Linked DNA regions of Macaca fascicularis. The protein of the gene in region 2 interacts with the protein of the main gene of each other region in a biochemical or structural test. Links are inferred from orthologs where the notes say so. Each region holds a gene or a part of one and is shown on either strand. Other genes may lie near its edges.

The links.
Region 1: the proteins of SATB1 (region 2) and PIAS1 form a complex in vitro, tested with the Homo sapiens proteins (2 studies listed by BioGRID, with this or other methods). The link is inferred for Macaca fascicularis from reciprocal best matches to the Homo sapiens genes SATB1 and PIAS1.

Annotation. Positions count from the first base shown.
Region 1 is NC_088381.1:44,795,775-44,800,173, reverse strand, and holds the start of PIAS1 (E3 SUMO-protein ligase PIAS1), read right to left. Parts: upstream 3,005-4,399; 5' UTR 2,993-3,004; coding exon 2,969-2,992; exon of another isoform or gene 2,081-2,968; coding exon of another isoform or gene 2,075-2,080; intron 1-2,074. UniProt on the Homo sapiens protein: Functions as an E3-type small ubiquitin-like modifier (SUMO) ligase, stabilizing the interaction between UBE2I and the substrate, and as a SUMO-tethering factor. Catalyzes sumoylation of various proteins, such as CEBPB, MRE11, MTA1, PTK2 and PML.
Region 2 is NC_088376.1:29,937,734-29,942,237, reverse strand, and holds the start of SATB1 (DNA-binding protein SATB1), read right to left. Parts: upstream 2,911-4,504; 5' UTR 2,837-2,910; intron 2,762-2,836; exon of another isoform or gene 2,318-2,761; intron 2,182-2,317; exon of another isoform or gene 1,917-2,181; intron 1-1,916. UniProt on the Homo sapiens protein: Crucial silencing factor contributing to the initiation of X inactivation mediated by Xist RNA that occurs during embryogenesis and in lymphoma.

The DNA.
Region 1 (4,399 bases), on a different chromosome or scaffold from region 2:
ACAAAATACCCTCCACATTCTTAAAATGTCATTTATGGGTATTCCCCTAATGAAAAATTAAGCCTTTCATAAACAAATGTGCATAGAGAATTCATTTTGATATGTATGATTCACAATCTAATTTTTATTGGCAATATCTTGAAGTGTTGCAGCTTGCGCAATTCCTACAGGGGATAAAGATCTATCCGTTTTTCCCATCTGATCTTTGCAGATTTCTTATAGATTTAAAAGGACTCACTAAAAAAGCCATGAGGAAAATAATTATGAATACACAGCAAAATGAAGTATGGGGCTGAAACCTAAGATAATGAAAAGTCACTGAATGTTATGCAAAGCTTCACAGTTGAAGTACTCTATTCCCATTTAAAATTTCAAAAAAACTAGATTTTCTTCTTCTTACTGATTTTTCGTATATTAGGAATGCATATTTACCTCCAAAAAATCACAAACAAAAAGCCTTCCGAAAATATCATTTCCAAAAGGAGTATCTGCCAAACCTTACTGCACAGAAAATTATATATACACATTCTTTTTTAACACATTCTCAAATAACTATGGTAGGCGTTCCTGAGATCACCTCCTCCACCCCCCAAAAAAAGAACAGCAAATCTAACCACAATAAAGTATTAACCAAATTTTTTTAATGCAGTTATCACCAGCTAAGCAATTTATCACACAGCTCCTCAAAGTCTCAGACACACACAATGACATACCAACATGTCAAAACAGTTATTATAATTTGAAAAATTATACAACAGGAACATAAAAGTAGAAAAAAAAAACTTCCTCTGGAAAAACTCAAGTAGATTTGGGAGAGAGCAAAAAACGAGACTAATTTTAGAAAAATAACATTTCTTCAAGTGTTTGGTGTTTATCTGATACTGGTTCACTTTCGTAAAGAGAAACTTTACCTAACAAGACTCACACCAGGGATCTGATCCATCCCCAAAGGCACTTTCTTAAAATGAGAAAGAACAAAGAAGGAAATCTCTCAGCATGTGCTTTCCATACTAGTTTCTTTGGACAGCATCAAGAGTGACAATATAGTCTGCACAAGCTTTTCGGCTTTATTCTATGGTCCATGTATAACAACTGATTAGCTATCATTCAAAAGAACTCCTAACAAAATAAATACTAGAAGGCAAAGATCACAGCAACATGATGACTCTATCATAAGAGAAAAATCATAGAAAACATGTCTTAAAGTTGTGTGCTTTTTTTTTATTTCAAGGGTTAACTATCTCCAAATATTCAAATTCCTAAGGCTTTCTCATTTCAGTCAATAGTTTGAAACTGGAGAAAACCCAAAACCATCCATTCTAAATCTGCTCTCCCTTAAATAAAGTTGTAATTATAAGTACATTTTAAAAGAATGACACTCAAAGCCAATACTTTAATACCTAAATCTTGGAGTGTAAACATTGTGAAGTTATTAGGAGAAAAGATCTTTCGGTGAGGATATTCCACAGGAAAAACTCTACAGAATCAAATCTGGCATTTGGTTGTTCCAGAAGTTGTCGTTTCATTATAACGGAGAAAAAAATTAAATAATTTGTATTAATTATAAAAAGAAGACTCTCTCCAAAGATTTACAATTGTATATCCCAATCTCCACTCTGACAGAGATGTCAGTTCTCTGGGTCGAGACATAACCAGCTGCTGGGTTCACACACACAGGAAGCCACAGAGAAGATCGCGTTCAGAGCCTCGAAATAATACGCGTTAGTTAAGAACTGCCTGCTACTAAACCAAAATTATTCAAACGGAGCCCCATTTGTCACAATCCAATCATAAGGGTTCCACCCCCCCTCCCCCAACTGCTTGTGTAGTGGTATATCTGCTTCGGTAAAGAAGCCATCATCAGGTAAAGATTGGGGTGGGAGAAAAGCGGGGAAAAGGGGGCACCCTTTCATCTAATTTCGTGAGGCGTGAGTAATTGGTACAGTTAAGAGGAACGTTCTATTTATCGGGGGTTAGAGTAGCATGAGGGGAGAATTTCGTTCAAATCAACATGGCCAGCAAGATGTCCCTACAAACAAAAGGCAATGGGGGGATATAAACACGAACCATTCACCTCCATCAGCTACAGCATCGCCATCATGGTGTGTGCAGAGACCCCCAAAGGCTCCTCTCACCCTCCACACCAGCCAAGGCAAGAGAAGGGAGAGAGGTAGCTACATCCCCCTCTCCCAACACTGCTTCCAAACACACACTCTTCGAGGGGGTTTCTCCCCTCGGCTGCCCGGAATCAGAGAGAGAGTAACGTCCCGCCCAGGCTGACTCTCCCCCGCTACCTCTCAGCCGAACCCCAATGCCGGCCCGGGGCTCGCTAAACTTTACCAGAGCTTCTCCCCCAGATCCCCACCCTATCGCCCCGGGATCGCGCTTCCCTCAAGCGGGGCACCCCAGGCGCTTCCTGAAAGCGAGCAGCCGGGGAGAGCCGAGTCCGGGGCGGGGGCGACAGGGATCCACGGAGGGGCGGGGCGGCCGGAGCCAAGTTCCCGGGGGTCTGAGAAGAGCGCCTGACAGGAGCCCGGGACTGCAAAGGAGGAAGAGGAAGCGGCCACGGGGAGCTTTCCCAATCCCCCCTACAAGAGCACCCTGCCCCCAGCCCCAGCTCCCCATGGGGGGCGGGGAGGCTAACTAGAAGGTGAAAAAGCCGAGCCCAGGAGACAGCTGCAGCCCCTACCTCCCGACTCCCTATCTCTTCCCCCGCCACCCCCGCCAGAGGCGCCCACAACAATAACACGCCGGGGACGACCCGTCAGCGCCCCCGAGGCACCCGGGGCCCGCGGCCCGCCGCAGGCGGGCCCCCTCTGCTGAGACCGGGCGCGCCTCTCTCCCTACAACTCCAGGCCCGGGTGGAGTCAGGCCCGAGCGGCCCCCCAGGGTCGGACCCATCCCCCCAGGCACCAGAGGCGCCGTCTCCGCGGCCGAATATTAGAAGTGAATTCGAGCTGCGCTTTACCTTTAGTTCCGCACTGTCCGCCATCTTGCGTCTGTCAGCGCAAGCGCAGTGAACCTCGCCGGGGGCCGCCGCTAGACCCGCCCCTCTAGCCGGCCTGGCCCCGCCCCGGCCCGCCCCTCCACCTTCCCAGCCCGCCTCTGGCCTCCGCCCCGCTTAGGGCGCTCGAAGCCCCGCCCCGGACACGTACAACTGCGAGACAGGCACGTTCTATTTAAATAATGGCGCCAAGCGGCGAGGTTTGACAGTTACTACCCCCTCGGCTTCCCAGCACCCCCATCCTCGCTCGGCCAGCGCCTCCCGGGAAGGGCAGGGGCGAGAGGGATGCTGGCCTGAGCCCCATCTCTCCGCGGTCCGTGGAACGCTTCTGCATAGCTTCGACGCCTACGGTCACAGAAACAATGCTGTCCTCCAACCCCTAATAAGCAAGGCTTTTTCAGCACCTGCTACTTGCGAGGCTACCAGTGGGCTAAAAATAGAAATCCGTTACATTTAAGGGGCCCTTAATGAAGCATTTGTAGCATTATTGGCTCAGATCCTCCTCTTGATAACGCGGTGAGGTAGGCAAGGAAGAGATAATTCCCAGGGTATAGATTCAGAAATGAAAGCTCAGAAAGGAAATGTGACTTGCACAAACAAGAATTTTTGCGAGGTGGCGTAAGACAAAATTTTGAAGGTGTTCATTAACATTTTTGTTTAAAAAAAATGTATTTAGTGACTATCTGTTGGCTTTGTGCTAACGGCTAAATATACATTGGGGAATCAAAGTCCCTGCCCTTCTGTAGTTCTCTAATGGGGAATCAGACAAGTGAACGAACAAAGATACAATTTCAAATGTTATTTTTTGAGTACCAGAAGGGAGCAAACGGTCCATTGAGAAAGAAGAAGGGTTTGGGAGATGTACTTAATTCTGGGAGAGTTTTATCCACTAAATTGACATTTAAGTAGACTTGATGGAAGGATTATTTCATTCTTTTTTGTCTCTACTAAAAGCCTTCTGGGCCGGGCGCGGTGGCTCAAGCCTGTAATCCCAGCACTTTGGGAGGCCAAGACGGGCGGATCACGAGGTCAGGAGATCGAGACCATCCTTGCTAACACGGTGACACCCCGTCTCTACTAAAAAATACAAAAAACTAGCCGGGCGAGGTGGCGGGCGTCTGTAGTCCCAGCTACTCGGGAGGCTGAGGCAGGAGAATGGTGTAAACCCGGGAGGTGGAGCTTGCAGCGAGCTGAGATCCGGCCACTGCACTCCAGCCTGGGAGACAGAGCGAGAGACTCCGTCTCAAAAAAAAAAAAAAAAAAAAAAAAAAAAGCCTTCTATATACCTCCTCCCCAACCCCCACTTTTTACTAATCAACTTTGTCTCATACCTCATGGAAAAAATGAAGGATATCAAATAAACTCCCTTCTCACCATCAAAACTACCCTTATCTG
Region 2 (4,504 bases):
TAACTAAAGTTGAAATTATGCACTTATTATAACCTTTTCTAACAATGTGAGAAAAACAGAGTAAATATATTAAATTTGTTTCACAACAGATGCTTAGGTTGTTAATATTTAAGATGCCTATTCATGCTATTCCTGTCTGCACATTTGTCAAAAATGTAAGCTTGAATGCTAATGTTTGCCAGCAGACTAGAGCAGCCAGTATATGAATGTACTACTGTTCTACAAAATAATATGCAATAGAAATAAAGGACTACTGCTAAATCATAGCACTAGTATCATACAGGAGATGAGAGGTTTTTAGAGCAAACACCTCAACCTTGGTTTTCTTCAGCCTTAAAGCATGGGTTTTTGTTTTTGATTTTTGCAGCTACATTTGACCACAGAATAAATCTCACATTACTGACATCTCAGAAAAATCCACTTTAGATAGAGTGTAAATTTCAACTAAGTTTCAACGGGATGAGTTACTCTGTCAGCAGTACAAACACCGTAAATATCAGAGATTGCTTAGGACAAAATCTGACACCGAGTGGTCACATTTTACTCATTCTTACCCTACCCCCTCCCCCTTGAGAAAGTCAGGTCCCCTGGCCTCCAAGTATGCAAACATGGAACCCCAGTCAGTCAGAGCAGTAAGGTTCTCTCCGGGGAATAGGGCATCTTTCTGTTTTCCCTGTCTCTTTTATAACCATGTGGAGTCCAAGTCTTAGAACATTTGCTTGTAAGTCCGGAATGCCGCTGAGAAAGTTCACCAAGGAAGGGCGCAGAGGTCAAAGTTGCCAACCAGGACACTTTGAGAGAGGACCCTGTGGTTGACATTTGTTAGTGAAATTTGCAACACCCCAGTGGAGGCCAAGGCCAAAACCTTCAAGGAGATCCCTATGCCCCTTTCCCCTGTTGGTCTTCTGAGGTCATCCCAAGAGGAACCTGTGTTTCCCCGGTACGCACGTGGCACTCCCCGGACCTGCCACCTGCCTGCTTCGTCCTTCTCGTCGTGGTTTCCCAAACCCCAGTTCTGCCGCCCCAGGAGCCTTGGCACTGGAGCAATAGGAAAAGGCCACCGCGCTCGGGTCTGGAGAGCAGGAGGGAGACACGGTGTGGACTCCGAGGCTGCACCTGTGATGTCCCGGCCCCAGCTAGGAGGATGGCCCTTTCTTCTGCCTCTTGCCCAACTCCAAACCCACATTCACGCCAGCAGCCTCTCCCGGACCAGCCTCGCTACAGCCAGCGAGGGCTCGAAATGGGGAGTGCCGCCGCTTTCAAACTCCGGGCTCCAACTTGAGCGCCCCGGCGCCCGAGTAGCTCCCGGGATGCAGAAGTTGCCACAAACTTCCCAGGCCCCTCTTCGCCGATGCTTACAATCAGTCGCGCCGGCAGGGAGCGGAGGGAGGCGGAGATGGACCGGGGAAGGATGCTGAGCAGACTCGCGATCCGGTGGGGGAACATTAGCACTCCGGCAGCCCACTCCTCCAGGCACCTTACTGCCCGCCCGGCTCCAGAACGCACAGAGAGGCTCCCCCTTTCCCCATTTGCTTCCTTCGGTCTTTTCCACTCCCCTTTCCTCTTCTAAAAGGGGCCACACCGGTGACCTGAAGGAGTTTGTTCAGCCAGGGTCTGTTGGGCAGGTGTGGTGATGTGTCCACACCCAGACAGAGAACAAACGGCATCTTCAAGTGCCCTATCCCGATCGCTCTCCCCTACTTTACCAGCCCACCCGTCCGAGGTCCGACTGCGTGAGAAAAGGGGCTCAGAAGACCCTTGAAGCCCTTCGCCCACGAGAGGGGAGCCCAGCCGCCCCAACAGGGGACGCGGGGTGGGTGCTACAGAGAAGTTTGGTTTGATTCCGGAAAAAGAGAGACAGAGATAAAACAGTAAGAGTAACAAGGGGAAAAGGGAGGCAAAAGAGCAGAACTCACTCAGGCATGGACGTTGGGGGCGGCGGTGGCTGTCGAGTGCGGGCCTGAAACCAGGAACGGCTCCCCGGGCGGGCGCGCCGGCGTCGGACTTCCGAGGCGGCGGCTTCTGCCTCTCCTGCCGCCGCCGCCGCCGCCGGAGCTGCGGCTGCCGCGGAAGTTAATTGCAACTTGACTTCAAGTTGTCCTCTTTCCCCATCCGAAGTGGGCGTTTAAAGGGGAGAGCGAGGCGAGGAGCGAGCGAGCGAGCGCGCGGGGCCAAGGGAAGGAAGGGAAGGAGGGGGAGGGAGGAGATGTTAACGGGCGGGGTGGGGGGGGGGAGAAGGGGGAGGGGGCGGCGGCGGGGGCGGGAGGGGGAAGGGGCCGGCGGGAGCTGCTCTCGGCTCGGCGGTCGCGGCGCCCGCAGTCTGGAGGCGCACCGGAGCGGCCGGAGCGCCCCCCGCGGGAGCCCGCAGCCACCCGGGACGCGCATCCAGCCGTGGCGCTTCGGGCCGGGCACGCTGCGCCCGGGGGCTCTGCAGACCCCGCGCAGCCGCCGCTTCGGAGCTTGTGCGGCGCGGGCTGGCCAGCGGGGCGGCCAGGGCCCGGCCCGCCTCCCTAGCGCCCGCCCGGCTTCTCCCCCTGGCGGTGGGAGCCTCGGCGGCCGCTGGCTACACTAGGCGCACTGAAGCCCGAGCTGAGCCGAGCCCGAGCCGCCGCCGCCGCCGCCGCCGCTGCTGCGCGCGGCTCCCGGGCTCCCTCCCAGCGCGCCGGCCGGGGTGTGGGGGGCGGCGGGCCGGAGGGGCGAGGGCGGGCGAGGGGGCGCGCACGGGGGTTGGCGCGGAAGACAGGACCCTCAGCCTCGAGGGGTAAGTGTGGGCGCTTGGGGGTGCGCTTGTGGTGCGCGGCGCCGTTCTCGTCGCCCGCCAACCCTGCCCCCTCACCTCTCCGGGGCCCCCACCACGCGCACCCCTCCTGTTGTCGCCTGCGGCTTCCTCTTGTTGTTCGTTGTTTGGCTGGGTTTTGGGGGGTGAGTAGAGGGGGTTACTGTAGTGTGTGTGCAGGCGGAGGAGGAAGTCAGGTGAGAGGCCTCGAAGCACCCCCACCCCAACCCAGCCTGCGTGGGGTGTATGCTTCCCCACTAGGGGCATGTGGGCCAATTTTTTTTTTTTTTTTTCTCTGTCAATGTTCGGTCGAGACGATGTTTCCTAGAGGGCCTCCTTCACTTACAGCCTGGTCTGTCCATCTCCCTTCATGCCACCCTCGTCCCTCTTAGCCCCCTATCCAGGAGCCTTGCCCCCCAAGTGAGGAGCACGTGGCGGAAGGAGGAGCAGGCCCTCTCTTGAAGACCCCCACGCTGTGACCCAGCCCATTTGTTTAAATATTTATCCTCACGTCACCAGCTGTACTTTTCAGCCCACTGGAACAAGACGCCTAAGCAAGGTCCAGTTTCCTCAAAAAGCTGGGGGCAAAGCGGGAGAGATGAGGATTTTATTGACAGGGGACTTGGGAGAGAAGGGGTCAAGGAACCTTCCCAAGTGGAGACTGAAACTCAAAATATCTCTACAAAAAGACTAGGGTGACTGGAGGCTCAGGACCGCCGGCTTAGGAGAAACTGGAGCTCCATCAACTTTATTTCTCTCCCCCTGCCTCTCCTCCCCTCAGCTCTGAGGAAGCTAACAGGTCTTTTGTTTTGTATTGTGTAGCCTTTGGGAAATTTGCATTGAGTATGTCAACAGAAAATTACTACTGTTTACTCAAAGTTAAAGGGATTGCAGAAAGAGAAAACATAGTTTTTACTTTTCCTCCTCTTTGTACGCGTGTGTGTATTTGGCAAGAAGTGTAGTTAGGTTCATGGCATGAACTGCAAAACGTCAGGTTGTAACAATAAGGACTGTAGAGCTGCCTAGGTGTATTTTTAGAAGCCGCACTTTCTTGAATTCCTTTCACACAAGGCTTGCTCTCTCATTAAGTCCCCATAAATAATTTTATTGAGAGAGGAGGGAACTGTGGAAGCAGGAGGGAGATTGCTAAGATTTCCATCCTGCCAGCGCACAGCACTGTTTGCAGGGAAGTTCCTGGAAAGTGATTGTGGGCTGAGAATTCAGTTTTTCCTAAAAGCTCTGTTAGGTCCTGTTGTGTCAGATGGCTATGAATAAAGCACGCTGGGAAAATCCTGATATCCGTGCAGTCTTATTTTATCCTTTACACAGTGGTTGATTCGACTTTCAAGCCCTGGTAACAAACACATCAACTGTGCTGTATTTTTGTGTGGTTTTTCTAAATAAAGGAGAATACAGCATGTATTCATGCTGCTTTTCCCCCGTATCCATGGTTATTGAATTCCCTGGAATTTATTCATTTTTTTTCAGTTGATCATCAGTTTATGCTGAGACCATAATTCCAAACATATAGGAATTTTTTTAAATTATGAATTACGGTTCTTTTAGTGAACCAACCCTCCTTTTTAAAGACACAAGTGCCCACCACAACTCCTAGTTGTGTAAAGCAAAGCAAAAAGATATAAATGATTATAATGAGGAAAACATAGTAAAATGTTTTCCTTCTAGGATCACTTTCTGCCCCCACATGTCCCAGGAGACATTAAATCC